2 linked regions of the Tribolium castaneum genome follow. Each later gene encodes a partner of the first gene's protein in a complex. Links are inferred from orthologs where the notes say so. Each region holds a gene or a part of one and is shown on either strand. Other genes may lie near its edges.

Evidence for each region. Proteins that work in one complex are often made in the same cells at the same time.
Region 2: the proteins of TH1 (region 1) and NELF-B are in contact, whole or in part, in a crystal structure (PDB 8JJ6), measured with the Homo sapiens proteins. The link is inferred for Tribolium castaneum from reciprocal best matches to the Homo sapiens genes NELFCD and NELFB. Residues at the interface, in XP_047296144.1 of Homo sapiens: Arg63, Ile66, Met67, Glu68, Pro69, Ile71, Phe72, Leu75, Ile89, Gln90, Leu92, Ser93, Tyr96, Thr97, Ala98, Val99, Ala100, Gln101, Thr102, Val103, Asn104, Leu105, Leu106, Trp109, Leu110, Gln112, Thr113, Gly114, Val115, Gln121; in NP_056271.3 of Homo sapiens: Met49, Leu53, Leu56, Val58, Ala59, Asn60, Gly61, Leu64, Lys65, Leu68, Thr69, Leu75, Ile78, Glu79, Phe81, Gln82, Glu84, Asn85, Gly86, Val87, Leu88, Leu89, Ser91, Leu92, Ser94, Ala95, Leu96, Pro97, Phe98, Leu99.

Annotation. Positions count from the first base shown.
Region 1 is NC_087394.1:30,828,730-30,835,797, reverse strand, and holds TH1 (negative elongation factor D), read left to right. Parts: upstream 1-3,352; 5' UTR 3,353-3,464; coding exon 3,465-3,521; intron 3,522-3,569; coding exon 3,570-4,010; intron 4,011-4,060; coding exon 4,061-4,210; intron 4,211-4,266; coding exon 4,267-4,397; intron 4,398-4,443; coding exon 4,444-4,631; intron 4,632-4,677; coding exon 4,678-4,930; intron 4,931-5,046; coding exon 5,047-5,257; intron 5,258-5,305; coding exon 5,306-5,446; intron 5,447-5,491; coding exon 5,492-5,621; intron 5,622-5,647; exon of another isoform or gene 5,648-5,668; coding exon 5,669-5,703; 3' UTR 5,704-5,761; downstream 5,762-7,068. Other genes in the region: Urm1 (ubiquitin-related modifier 1), read right to left, coding at 1,833-1,901, 1,951-1,999, 2,608-2,689, 2,894-2,964, 3,017-3,039; nop5 (nucleolar protein 58), read right to left, coding at 5,762-7,068. UniProt on the Homo sapiens protein: Essential component of the NELF complex, a complex that negatively regulates the elongation of transcription by RNA polymerase II.
Region 2 is NC_087394.1:30,667,526-30,674,771, reverse strand, and holds NELF-B (negative elongation factor B), read left to right. Parts: upstream 1-2,842; 5' UTR 2,843-3,012; coding exon 3,013-3,129; intron 3,130-3,185; coding exon 3,186-3,284; intron 3,285-4,665; coding exon 4,666-5,457; intron 5,458-5,471; exon of another isoform or gene 5,472-5,511; coding exon 5,512-5,919; exon of another isoform or gene 5,920-5,971; coding exon 5,972-6,319; 3' UTR 6,320-6,387; downstream 6,388-7,246. Other genes in the region: uncharacterized protein dikar, read right to left, coding at 1-2, 56-318, 519-705, 1,164-1,425, 1,473-2,102, 2,161-2,249, 2,320-2,347; pn (exopolyphosphatase PRUNE1), read right to left, coding at 6,393-6,946, 6,993-7,246. UniProt on the Homo sapiens protein: Essential component of the NELF complex, a complex that negatively regulates the elongation of transcription by RNA polymerase II.

The DNA of each region.
Region 1 (7,068 bases):
AAACTCCCCGAAGGTACTCACAATTTCAAATAAAACTGTAATTGTATGGGCAAACGACTGGTCTCTGGATAACAGTCCCTCTTTTCCAAAATTAACCCATAATCCGAACCCCACGGAAACGTAACGTGCGAGCGATATAGCACGTAAATTTTTCTCATAAACACAGGCACATTTTTGAATTGCATAAATACGAATTTGGATGAACAGGTTTAAAATAAAAAAAGCGAATAAATTGTATTAAAAGTAGGTATAATAGCCGGTGTAAATATCGACTAAAGGAGATTACAGCGGTTAAAAATGAAACACATTCAAATGATTTTCGGATTAATGTCAGTTTTATTACACAGCCGAAAGCAGAAACGTACAAATGTCGGAAAGGTAGCATCGTAAATAGCGCGAAATCAGAATTTATTCCCAATTTCGTCAATATTTGTTTGAACTGGATTCAAAAAGTGTATGGTAAGACATTACATATGTCTCGACACACCTCAGTGCTGCAGTCAACCGGGTTGAGCATCATCTACGCACAGGATCTCCATATAAACGACATCATTATCCTGCGATGGTCCTGTCCGCCTTATCCTTTACAGCGGCAAAATCATAAAACTTAACCTTAATTTAGTATATTTCTTTTAGGAAATCGTTCCCTCCTACTTATGGAAATTTAATGACCAATTTCCCCAATTTTCTCAAATAATTGCCACTTCTTTCGCCATTAAATACAACGCTCCGTGTACTTATAACAATAATGATTTTATGCGTAAAGTTTCCATCATTATGATAATTAAACTCGAACTCAATTATAATGTATCGTTAGGGAAACAAAACGGGTTTTTCGCATAATTCTCGATGGCTCATCGACTTTATGCTAATTTATCCAGACGTTGCGGGAAGTTATGCAAAGATCAGATATTCGAAATGGTTGGGACGACAATAATCCATAAGTAAAATCTACGGTAGAATCGTGAACAATGAGATAGTAAAGATTTCTTATTTCTGCTGACACTGCACTTAGATATTCAGAAAGTACCACAAAGGTAATAATATTACGTGCTCTCGGCTCTTACAATATCTGATCAGAGCGATAAATTTTAAATAAAATCATTATTTCCGAATATTGCGCTCCGCCGGTGAATAGAAAGAGGGTTAACACCACACCAACAAACTATTGTGTGATGCACTGTGTATCTTGTTATGTGATCTCTAGCGATAATTTACATATAAGGGCCACACTGGGTGTAAACTATCTGACCACATCGATTTACGAGCCTATTTACACGACGCCGCTGCTCCGATAATATTATGGAGAACTGTTAATGCCCTCACCAAAACCGCGACATAGACAACTGCTACTTTATTGTCACTCAACCAGTGGTGAATGCGGAGCGCCCAAGTAAAAGTCTACATTTTAAGCGTTTCCAAAAAAAAATTTTTCTGTTTCTAGCACAGTGTAAGCACAATAATAGTGAAATGTAAAAAAAATAGTTTCTTATTTTTTCAGTAATATATGCCTTTTCTTTAGTTTCTGGAAACTTCCTCAAGATCTTGCTTTGTCAGATTGTCATAGCATAACCAGCGGACAATAATTAAAAAAAAACTGCCCGAATTTGGCAAAAAATGCAGGTCAATACATATAATAATCTATCAATAGAAGAAAAATTCTCATTTCCTTTTAACCATGTTTTGACAAAGATAGAATTAATCGACCCAACTATCGTAAGTAAAAAAAACAAGAGGAGTCATTGGCCAAGGTGTCATGACAGTAAAGAGTGGAAGCAGAAAAACACATCATAAACAAATCTTTTATTTAAAAAAAAACAGATACAATAAAATTAACCCCCGTGTAATGTGGAAATAAACAATATCCTATCATTTTCCCGAATGACATAGTTAACAGTGTCCTAAAATGTAAATAAAGATAAAAATTTGTATTCCCTAACTGCAATTTACCATCAATTCCCAATCTGCGTCATTGATTAAGACGAGTATTCCAGGTCGCCTACAAAAAATAATAAAAGAGTGAGCGCATTTTTAAGCGCCGGAACGTAACAAGCTATACAAGAGCAACTAATCAACGCGGCGTGAGTAAATAGATGCTGAATCAATTACCTATGCGGATCATATTGCTGCATACATGCATCGAAACAAGGATAGTATTATAAAAATAGAGCAGATTTTGTAATTTCGTGGAAAAAAGGGAAATATGAAACTCGGAACAAATTCATTTGTCAACGATAGCAAAAAATGAAATACTGTATTCATCACATGGAGGGCTCAGAAGCCAATCTGTGTATTTATTTCACTTTTCGTCAAGTAACTTTTGTGGGACAGGAATCACTCATTGTTAACTTTTACAGAAGCGAGTCCTTCAATAACGATTCTGATTTTCACCTTTTTTTATAAAGTAAATTTTAAGAATGCTTATTATCCCATTTTTTTGCTAATTTGAGTTATACTGACTGGTTTCTGAATCCTGCATGTAAATAATTAAGAAAATTAAAAAAACACGTATTATTTAATCTTACTGCTCATAATTCACCAAAGAATAAAATACATTTTATAATTTAGTCTGAATTTAGCTAAAATAAATTTAGTAGGTATACTTACACAGACTCATCTTGCAAAAACAGTTCTGGTCGCTCTTTCAATAAATTATCTTTAATCCAAATAAGTAAATCCTTAATTATCCCTGCAATATAAGTTAAGCATATTAAGCAGTTAGCATAATAGCAATAAAGTATAAAAGATATCCACAAATGTGTTTCATTTCTTTAAAATAAGCTAATCAAATCAGGTGTAGTAAAAATTGATAAAATGATAAATAAAAGACTATTTGCGATAAATGCTTTGATTAAAAGTCAGTAAAAAAGTGAATTATCCTTATTATCCTTACATTCCTTGTCTTTTTCAGGTAATGTTACATCGTGACTCTTTTTGTTATCAAAAAGCAATTCAGCACCACCCCTGAAATATTAAATTATACTACAGTTTTAGCAAAAAATTAAACAATTCTCACCCAAATTGCACCGTTATGTGCATTTCGGTTTATATTACTAAAAAAATAATTACAAAAAATTACAATTTGATTCTCATAACCTTTAATTTCATAACATGTCAAGTTCTGTCAACCATGTTAGCCAATCCAGTTTATAAAATTCCCAAACAATATTGTACTGTTTTATTAATTTATTATTTGGTGAATAAAGTCAACTAATTCAATTTTGGACCTTTGAATGTGTCCCGGATTTAATAAAATTGTACCATGAAATTCTAGTTACGGAAAATTTGGGAATTGCTTTATAATTTTCAAATCTTTGTGGGTCAAAGCCGCCAACGTACACTTCGCGAAATAACTACTAGTTGGTAGTAACGTCAAATTTCGAAGGTTATGTTATGTTTAAGGACGCGACTTTTTTATTGTTTTAATTTATATAACTGCCCCAGTTATATGTAATTAACTTGCAATGGATGAAGAATACGACGAGAGAAATTGGGATACCGTTGATCGACTCGATAATGACGTGAGCATTTATTGAAATCTTGAATCTTTCAACAACTCGTATTTTTAGTCAGATGCGGGCGATGAAACGGAAAACCCTGAGCAGGTCCTTAAGGAATGCGCGGAGAAATTTTCGACCTCAGACTACATAATGGAACCGGGAATTTTCTCCCAGCTGAAACGGTATTTCCAGTCTGGAGGAAACCCCTTGCAAGTGATTGAAGAATTATCACAGAACTACACCGCCGTAGCCCAGATGGCTAACTTGATAGCAGAATGGCTAATCACAGGTGGAGTCAATGTAACTTCGGTTCAAGCAATGGTGGAGAACCACTTAAAAGAGATGATTTTGAAAACATTTGATCCCAAAAAAGCTGACACGATTTTCACAGAAGAGGGTGAGACGCCAGCTTGGCTGACACAGCTAATTGAACATCCCACGTGGCGGTCACTGATTTATAGATTAGCTGAGGAGTATCCAGACTGCTTAATGTTAAATTTCACAATTAAGGTTCGTAAAAATTGCCTTAAGTGTAACATGAGTAAATGTGGTAATTGCAGCTTATTTCCGACGCCGGTTTCCAAGCTGAAATCACAAGCATTTCAACGGCAGCTCAACAGTTGGAAGTCTTCTCTAGAGTACTCAAAACTTCAATTGCTAGTTTTTTGACCAATCCAGAAGACTGGCAAAATACCAGCAAGGAGTGTGCAGTAAATTATGCAATTTAACACTTGAATTCACTAAGAAAAAAAATCTATTTTTCTAGAAAATGGTGTGCCACGGCCAGCACACATACGTTTACAGTCAAGTGATTATCCACGTGTTAGCTCGAGAATCCAAGGGTGGCAGTAGCATGAAGCGACTGTCTCAAGAAATCACGAAATGCGCCCAAAAAAAGTATAATTTTTTCTAGTAAACACAAAAATTATTTATCCATTTTCAGTGGCCATGACGTAACTCCAATCACAATGGCGTTAAACGGCGCCTCTGCATACCCTCTGGCCTGCCAGGCCTTGACATCAATGCTTTCAAAAAATACACTTAATCCAGCCGACATTACAGTTCTGTACAGAAATTACAACGCTCCAGACCCTCCTCCCATTGATTTAATCAGAACTCCGCAATTTCTGGGTTTGTTTTTTAACGATTCTGAATATATGGTAATTCACAATTTCAGAATTATTGATTGATGCCTTGTTTAAACCTGGAGTAAAACTCAACCCCGACCACAAGCCCAAATATATCCATTTGTTAGCTTATGCAGCAAGTGTCTATGAAATGCAAGCCAAAAAAGGGCAAAAAAGAGTGGTCAATAAAGATGAACTTCAAGCGACTATTCATTCAATTGAAACGGTCCACAATATTTGTAATACCAATAAAGGGAGTTCAGAGCTAATGGCAGAACTTGCAACGCTGTATCAGTGTCTCAGGTAAGTTTCTAAGATGATATTTTAATAAAAACTGAATAAATTTTGTAAATAAAATGTCGGTAAATCACCATTATCAAAAACATTGTCAACTAAGAAACTTATATTTATTTTTTTAGGTATCCAGTCGTTTCTGTTGGAATTATCCGTTGGGTTGAGTGCACTGTTACCGAAGCAAGTTACTTTAAATTGTCAACAGAACACACTCCAATTCATTTGGCGCTCTTGGATGAAGTAGTTACTTGTCACCCTCTTCTCCATAATCAAGTACTCGACTTACTAATCAGGTTGTTTGAATCCAAGCAAGACGAACTGGAAATTTTAGTCCAAGTAAGTTATCAATTTTTTTACGATATTTTTCAGTTTTTTTTTTGTTAGCTTGAAATGCGCAAAATGGTCCTTGACAGAATGGTAAATTTGCTATGTGCTGGATGTGTGGTACCCGTTGTAAAGTACATAAAACAGTGTTGGCAAAAAGGCGACACGGACATATCCCTGATTCGTTACTTTGTAACGGAAGTAAGTTACTTTGTTAAAAATGACCGGAAAATGCAATTTTTGTAGGTTTTGGAGACCATCGGGCCCCCTTATAGCTCCGAATTCGTCCACTTATTTATGCCAATGGTTGAAAATGACGAAATTACGGGAACAATGAGAGGAGATGGGGAGAACGACCCCGTGTCTGAATTTATCGGTGAGTGGGAAAACGTGGTAAATCAATTTCTTATTGTTTGTTTTTAGTCTATTGCAAAGCAAATTACACCGCTGTTGTATAACAGCACCTTAATAATAAGAATGTCTATTATTGTAAAAAATAAAAAACCTTCCGCTAAATTATTCATCTTCCTTGGAAATGCTCTTCTTCTTCTTTTTCTTTTTTCCACTTGTTGGCTCTTCAACAACTTCAGGCGGAGCTTCGCTCTCGGACTTCTTCTTCTTCTTTTTCTTCCCAGGCGTCACCTCAGGTTCTTCCTTAACTTCCGCTTCCACCTCTTCCTCCGCTTCCTCTTTCGCCTTCTTCTTCTTCTTTTTCTTCTTCTGGCCCTCACCACTGTCCTCATCCTCCTCCTTGATACTGTCATTGGTCTCATCCGTCTTGACCTTTTTCTTCTTCTGCTTGGGAGTCTCCTGAGTCGTGTTCAACTCCTCCTTCACTTGCTCCGACTCTGACCTCTTCCTCTTCGAAGTCGAAGGTAACGTCGAGTCGGCAGCAGCAGGATACTGCTGAACTTCCGAAACCCCTTGATATTTCTCAAACTTGGCCTTGGCTTTCGCCGTCCCGCTAATTCTCCTCAAATTCCCCTCTTCCAAAATTCTAAGACGTGCTTCCAACTTGGCTTTGTGCTCCGCCCCAAGCGTGAAATTCCCGTCTTCGCCTAGAGCATCGACTCGAGTTGCGAGGGCTGCTTTAGCCGCCAACATTCGAGACATTTTCCCCTTGTTTTTGGTGCTACTTTGCCCCACTAACTGGGCGTGGTAGATCAACCCGTACTTCGGGGTGTCTTTCTTGGTCTTGAGGGCTCGGAATAGCGCCTTCTCAGCCCCCAAAATCTGCACCGTGGAGGCCGGATGTTTGGCCAAGTTTATCAAAGACCCAGCGTGCGAAATCAAACGAGCGCCCACCAAATCCCCAACCAACGTTGTCAGGTTTGGGGCCATCGCCATCATACGGGCCTTCAAATAGTCGTACAACTGGGTGCGATAATTGGAAATTTCTACAACTTGGTCGCACAAGTTCTGAATGTTTAAAATATCGTCGTCGGATATCTCAGTACCCATTGATATTTCAGCTGCCTCCTTGACTTTCTCCTCAATTTCTTCGGGGAGAATGTCGGAGAGGTCAGAACTGGCGGTGTTATCACGCGTTCCGATGATTTTAACAGTTTTGACGAACGCAACGTTATCAGTGATTATTTTCCCAAGCTCGGGAAAGTGCCAACCGTACCATTCGCGGCACCTCATTATGTAGTTGTTGAGTTCTTTATCGAGGTCATCAAGCAACGAAACCGCTTGGACTATCATTGTATCAATTTTATCAGGCGAGAATTTTAACTTGTACCGTGATAAGGAATGAGCTAAACCTAACGCCATCGCGGTCATTTCCTTCTTAGGTAACCCCGTTATCAAACTGTCCAATTGCG
Region 2 (7,246 bases), about 160 kb from region 1:
TTCTGAAATATGTAACAAGTTAACTAAACTGATAAATTATTGATTATTTTTTTACCATTTTCAACACCGTTATAAAGTCGACAATTGTCCACGATTAACTGGAAATCGTCTCTGAATTTTGCAAAGTTCTTGTAATAACCTGCATCCAGCCTCTCTTCCATTCTTTGCAAATCCATTGGTTTCCGAATAACTGTGTAATAATTGGGTGCGTAATCCTCATCAACAGGATCGGCAAAGGGCCATGCGTCTTCATGATTTTTTACGTAATCTAAGATCTTGTGCATTCCTGTTATTAGATCTTCGTCGGTTTGACGAAACCTAAAATTTGCACTTTACTCCAAAACCGCACATCTTTCTGATAAGAAATTACCATAAAATTACAGGGATTGAAAGGAGCAGGGACATGCATGGAAGAAAACTTTCACAAACCCAAATTTATCTAAAATTTCCACTTATTTGGTAAATTTTAGGTCAACAGGAACTTTGAATAATATGTGCAATGGGAAAAAACAACTTACACTTGAGAAGTTTTTAGTTTTTTCTTGTGTGAGTTGGTAACAGGTTGGATAACAATTTGTCCAGTAGCTGCCGCCAGCGAATTGTTGGTTTGTCGACCAACTGTTGTAGTTGCGGAAGAAGTCGAGGATTTTGAAGTCTCCTCACCTGTTTTCTTCCTTTTTGAGCTCTTCGGCGCAGATGATGCATCTAACAAGTGGTTATAATTAATTATATTTACTGTTCTAATTATCATATTTCAGAATATTCTGATAGGTTATCTGTGTGACTAATGAATCAAAATACCTGAAATATTCTCGGAGATAAGCAATAAAACGCAAATTAAAACAAGACTATAATTTGTAAATTTCCTGGTCTCCTGTTTTAACTAATCATGGGATCATATAGTGTTATTTATAAATACGAATAGTAGTAAGAAATTCATAAATCGGACCATTTTTATTCGAAAAGGTAGATTTTTAAATAAAAGAATATTAGATACATCAATCAATTGTTTAATTAATATTCTTGCGTTTTTTTAAGTTTCAAGGTAAGTTTGTTTTCTTGGTAATTCATTATTTTTAGCTTATAAATAAAGTTTTAATAAAAAAGTCTTAGCTATAGCACCTTGTACATCTCAAGGTTACAATTGATAATTTCGTATTTACCTTTACTGTTAGAGGAACTTGTTGACAATTTTCTTTGTCTTCCTTTGGACTTCTTTTGTCGCGTTTTAGTCCCGCCCATCTCATACCGTACTTCAGAGTCCTCACTTTGGCTATCTTCGCTCTGCTCTTTAAGTCTGTTACTTCTCTCATAAGCTTCTTTTCTCTTGATTTCCAAATCGCGCTTTCTTTGTCTTTCTTCCTCTTCAAGAGGATTGGTTTTCGGCGATTCACACGTTACTTCTTCTTTTTCAGTTGTATTTTCCTGTAATAATCTCTTGTAAAAAAATTAAATAATTAACTTCTTACTACTTTTCTCAAACGTCGAGAAGTGCGTCTCGGTTGATTTTCCAGCAGACGCTTCCTGGCCAGTCTTTCCTTTTCCCGGAACAATCTGGGCAATTCAGGCAAGAAGTTCTCACTTAAAGTACGATGTAACTCTCTTTCACACTTAGCAGTCGATTTTTTAAATTTCTTGTTAAGTTGAAACCAATCGTCTTCAGTGAAACAAATAACCTGCCACACGGATTTCTTCTTATTATTCTTGGTTTTAAAGTCCTCTCTGTACAGTCTAGTACCGTAAAAATACCAGTAAGCAGATTCGTTACTGTCATAACCCAGGGGCTCAACCCTCAAGCTGTCTGCTTCTAAATTTTTCAGCTGGTCAAGCACATCATCAGCATCTAAACGAAAATCACAGAGTGCATGTAAAATGTCCACTTTTGTTCTCAAAGGTAACAATTGGAAATCAACGTCTGTGTTAAATGGGTTGTATTGATCATGTTCCTGACATTTCTGGCGAAAGAGACGTCTCAGGAACATCTGATAATTGAACGTTGAGATTTCATTGTTCGGCAAGCACCCACTGAGAAGCCTCACGATCAGTTCTTGAAGCCAAGAGGTTTCCTCCGTCCCATCAGTCAAGAGAGCCTCCTCCAAATCCTAGATCAAAGCAAAACGAATCAAAACCCGAACGCAGGAATTGTTTGCGTGGTTTTACCTCGATATCAAAATCCAAAAGGTTAAATGCTGTTCGAAACAATGAACAAAAATGTGCAATGCTTGGAACCTCCCACCATGATTGAATATCTGAAACAACGGCCAGAATTAGGGAAAACAGCACTTGAGAAGCCAAATCGGCGAATTTCCGTAAACACACCTAGGATGCTAATGAAAGTTGGAAACATAACCTATACGGTGATCAATACATGTAACGTTGTTAATTCACATTAATCTCGACGAAACTCCCCAAAAAGCCATGAATTAACGAATTTACGACTCGAACGGCGGATAACCAGCCACATTTAGCGCACTATAGGCCTTTGGGTGTCAAAAAGAATGCCATTTCTTCAACAAGCTTTGATAGGCTTCCCCCAAATCTGCGTACTAGTGCAACCTAGCGTCTATTTCTACGTCACTTAACGTCGTCACACTCGGCGTAATTTACCGCAAAATCACCGTAATTCCGCCAATTGCCCGATATTACACAATGTAAACATGCTCCTAACGCATCGCCGAAAATTCCTGACAACTGTCAGAGTCACTTTGAAAATTCGCCTTTTGAAAAACCGGAAGTTATTAGAATAGTGCTGCTTTTACCGCTTCTTATTGTATTTGACGTCGACCAATCACAGCGCAGCATTTTAAATAGGTGAAAGACCTTTGTTTTGTTTGACGCTTTTGACAGCAAATGGTGTGTTTTTTGACAATATATTTTCATAATGGGTTATGAAAGCTGTGTGTTTATATTTATTGAGATGTGTAATTGTAATCTCTGTGATACTAACACCGAATTTAAGTGATAAACTGCGTCGATTTGATGTTTTACTAGTGTAAGGATTCGTACTGCAAAATGTCTTCATCCAGAAACGATTTCCCTTTGGAAGCCCTCAATATACACGGGCCCACCTTCCTCAAACATGCCTTAACTAGTTGCACTGATCCGCTCAAAGCCATTGAAGAGTTTCAGGTACTTTTTGTCATGATTTTATCCATAGATTTGTAAATAAATTCGCTTTCTTATAGGTTACAAACGGGATACTTTTACCCTCATTACGCCCAATGCTTCCATTACTTGATCTACACGGGGTGAGAAGACTGGATTTTCACATGTCAGTTGTAGAGGTAAAGTATTCTCATTAAATATTAATCCCCTCATTAGTGGCAATGTCTGATGGGTTGGACTTTAAAGTTCACTAGAACTGGCATCAATATATTTGATTTTAAACAAACCATACACAGTAATAATGTTCAATAAGTTTCGTCAGTGAAGGGGAAGGCGTATACCTACCCAAAAATAACAAATAAAGAAAATTAAAACTAAACTATGTTACGGTCAATGTGTAAACTTGGCTAATTTGTACACTAGCTGGTTAGTTTGCAAACTAATAGAAAACCCAGTTTCAACTAAAATAGCTAGATAGTTTATAAACTATCCGATTTTTCTTAGTCATTTTTCTATTGTCTATGTATTTATTTTTTTAATAAAAACCACAGATTCAGTTGTTACGCCTGGCTCATATTTTTTAAGAAATCTTTACAAAACAGGGATTTTTCGAGGGATCATTATACCCCACTCTTTCCTAGTTTTCCTTATTTTTAGCATTAAAATCTGGCTCACATTTTAAAAAGGACATAAAAAATAGGGTATTTTTCATAAAAAATCGACGTTTTAATAGCTAAAGTGGGCTTAAAAACAAGTTATTTTTCCATTTTTGTGTTAAAACGACCTCAATGGGTTGATTTTCAAACTCAACAAATTTCAACGACTAAAACCTGAAAATAATCGTCTCATTTTCCTAAAAATTGATGTTTCAGGAAAATCTGAGTTAGAAAAAAGGGTAAAAGTCAAATTCAACGTTGTTTTTAATGTTTTCATAATAATAATTATGAAATTTAAATTAAATGTTGTTTTGAATGTGATTATTACTCGAGTACATCCCGAAAATCAGATGGTATTTAATGTATCATGGTTTTACTTAATAAGAATTATAAAACTGTTTATAATTGCTTTTATGGTGCAAACTGTATGAAAATGCGCTCAGGAGTTGGTCGATAATGTGACTCATTTTTGGTTGGTGTCTTGTTTCGTTCATTACTCCATAATTTACAACTGGATTTATTGATTTTCAATTAAAATGTATTAACACCGTATTTCCTTATTCAATTGTTGTGATTTTTTTCTGATTGCAGTAATTGTACTTTTTTTAAAAACATTTTATTGTTTTTGGCTTTAAACCGCATTGTTACGAACAAAAGTTTTGTAATAAAACGCAATGTTGGTTTACATTCTATTAGATACATAAATAAACGTGTAATCTCACAAAACCAACTTTGGTAGTAAAACGTCAAAACATAAAGTGTTTTATGTGCCCTCATTCAGGTCCAGCGAGATAAGTTTGCCATTCATGTAGACATAAATTCCATTAGTAAAAAATTCCCGAATAAAGTTCCCAACTCGCTGTATTTATTTCCCTTTAATGAAAAAATTACGATGTTGGTTCAGGAACTCCGAGAGAAACTAATCGCACACATCAATGAAATCGGCAAGCAAGAAGGACGCGAAAGGGACAGGAAGCTGAAAGATTTACTCGTAAAGAGTTTCCCTGTGGTCAAAGTGAAGGCTTTAAGGCCGATAGTGATGGCGATTTTGAAAAACACACCACAGATTGACGACAACTATTTGAAAATATTAGTTAGAGATCGGGAACTGTACAACGACACTGACACAGAAGTCAAACGGCAGATCTGGAAGGACAACCAGTCGCTCTTCGGAGATGAGGTCTCGCCTCTCTTGAGTCAGTACATCAGCGAAAAAGAGAACGTGCTGTTCGATCACACCAACATCAGCACCCAGTTCTTCGGGCCTTCCCCCAAGGTGCGGCGCCAAGGGGAAGTCGTCCAGAAGTTGGCACACATGATTGGAAACAGTGTTAAATTGTACGATATGGTGCTCCAGTTTCTTCGCACTTTGTTTTTGCGGACCCGAAACGTGCATTACTGCACTTTGAGGGCCGAATTATTAATGGCCTTACACGATTTGGAAGTTCAGGATATAATTTCGATAGATCCATGCCATAAATTTACGTGGTGCCTTGATGCCTGCATTAGGGAAAAAAATGTCGACATTAAACGCTCAAGGGAGTTGCAAGGGTTTTTGGATAACGTTAAGAGGGGCCAAGAGCAGGTGCTGGGCGATTTATCAATGACTTTATGCGACCCCTACGCCATTAATTTTTTGGCCACGTCGGCCATAAAAATCCTGCATCATCTCATATACGTAGAAGGGATGCCGAGGGTAAATAATGAGAATTTTCGAAACAAAATTATAATTTTTATACGAATATTTTAGGACAATACGATTTTAATTTTGCTCTTGCGAATGTTGGCTTTGGGTCTAAGTGCCTGGGTCATGATCGACTCCCAAGACTTCAAAGAGCCCAAACTGGACAGTCAGGTCGTTACGAAATTTTTGCCGGCCCTAATGTCGCTCATGGTCGACGACCAAGTGCGGCAATTGTCAGGCAAATTGCCCCCAGATGAACGCGAAGCTGCTATCACAGTTATCGAACATTCGGGGCCCTTGCCCGATGCAGTGGAGGCCTACATTCAAGACAGTTCAGTCGCCAGTATTCTCGCCATGTACTACACCCTGAACGTGGCCCGGCTTAAAGACAGGGTGGGGCTGCTGCGAGTCTTGACGGTTTTGGCGAACTGTAAAGACGACCGGGCTTTTGAGGACCCGTTCCTCCACTCTCTCGTACGTGTACACACATTTGTGTTAATTATTTGCAAAGTTGTGGTTTCCGCAGGTCATTTTCCTTATTCATAATCCGGAGGAGTTTCAAGCTGAGGATTTTTGTACTGTTCTCTTCGACGAATTCTTTTTTGCTGGGCTGACGAGGGAGAACGTGACAAGACATTTACTGAAATTGCTGTGGTATGTACATTCCCGACTGCCGGCTAGTCGTTTACACACGCTGATGAAAGCGCTGCAACCGACGCACCAACACAGCGAAAAGGTTCACAATTTGTACGAAACGCTTCAGACTAAGATTAATTCGCAAGAGGAGACTGCTGTACCTCTTGAAATGGATATTGACCTCAACTCGCCTCTAATGAGTGTGCCAACGCCTGCTCCGTATCACCATACGTTATGAAAACAGTGGTATTTTATAATTTTGTAGAGTGTTATTTATAATTTCGTTTATTAAAGACTAACAATGCATTTTCCTATTTTTGGCATTGTACAGCTGCATCGTTTACCAGAGGCAGAATAAATTTACGTGTCAATTTAATATTGCCCTGTCCGAAACACACAATATTCTTACTTTTTACAGAAGTCTCGGTGAGTCGTAAGTCATGTTTACTGTCATTCAAAATCGAGATTAACGTTTTTTTAAACGTGGAATCGGTAGAAAAAACCGCAATGTCTCTTTTAACGTCGCCACTAGCGTCAATCCCAATTAAAACAACACTGGATGTTTTGAATTCACTCGCGAACGCTGCAATAGCGCTATCTGCATCCTCACGACTTAAATATTGCTCAACCAACATTGGTAAACCCGGGATTGGGACACCCTTAACCACTTTTAGGTCTCGGTAGAGTAAATCTTGGCTAGTCAGACTAGACGTATCGTTGTGGATTTTCCACAACACGTTGAACAATTCTTTCCTGGTTTCGGTTGGTTTAAGGATGTTTTCCAAGTAATGTGCAACTTGAAGATCATCCTCGAACGTTTTCCCACTTTCCTTATCAAGTCCGATAGTGTCGTAAATAATTGTAGCTATAAGAATTTTTTAATCAAAGATAAAACTTTCTGGAATTTTTACCATATAAAAGGTGACTCAAGTCATGAAATAAAATTGGCAACTTTGACTCAATAATTTCATTTGTGATCAAAGTGCAACAAGAACCGACTATTTTAATAACGGTCTTTTCCACGTGATCCCCCCGACAAATTTCTTCGGTGTTGATGGTTCTGTGGTCAAAGATTTCTACAACTGTTGGTTCTAGGACTTTATCATGGTTTGATAACACATGGTGGTCCACTAAGCTAGTTGTTACTTTGGTGGTTTTTAAGATA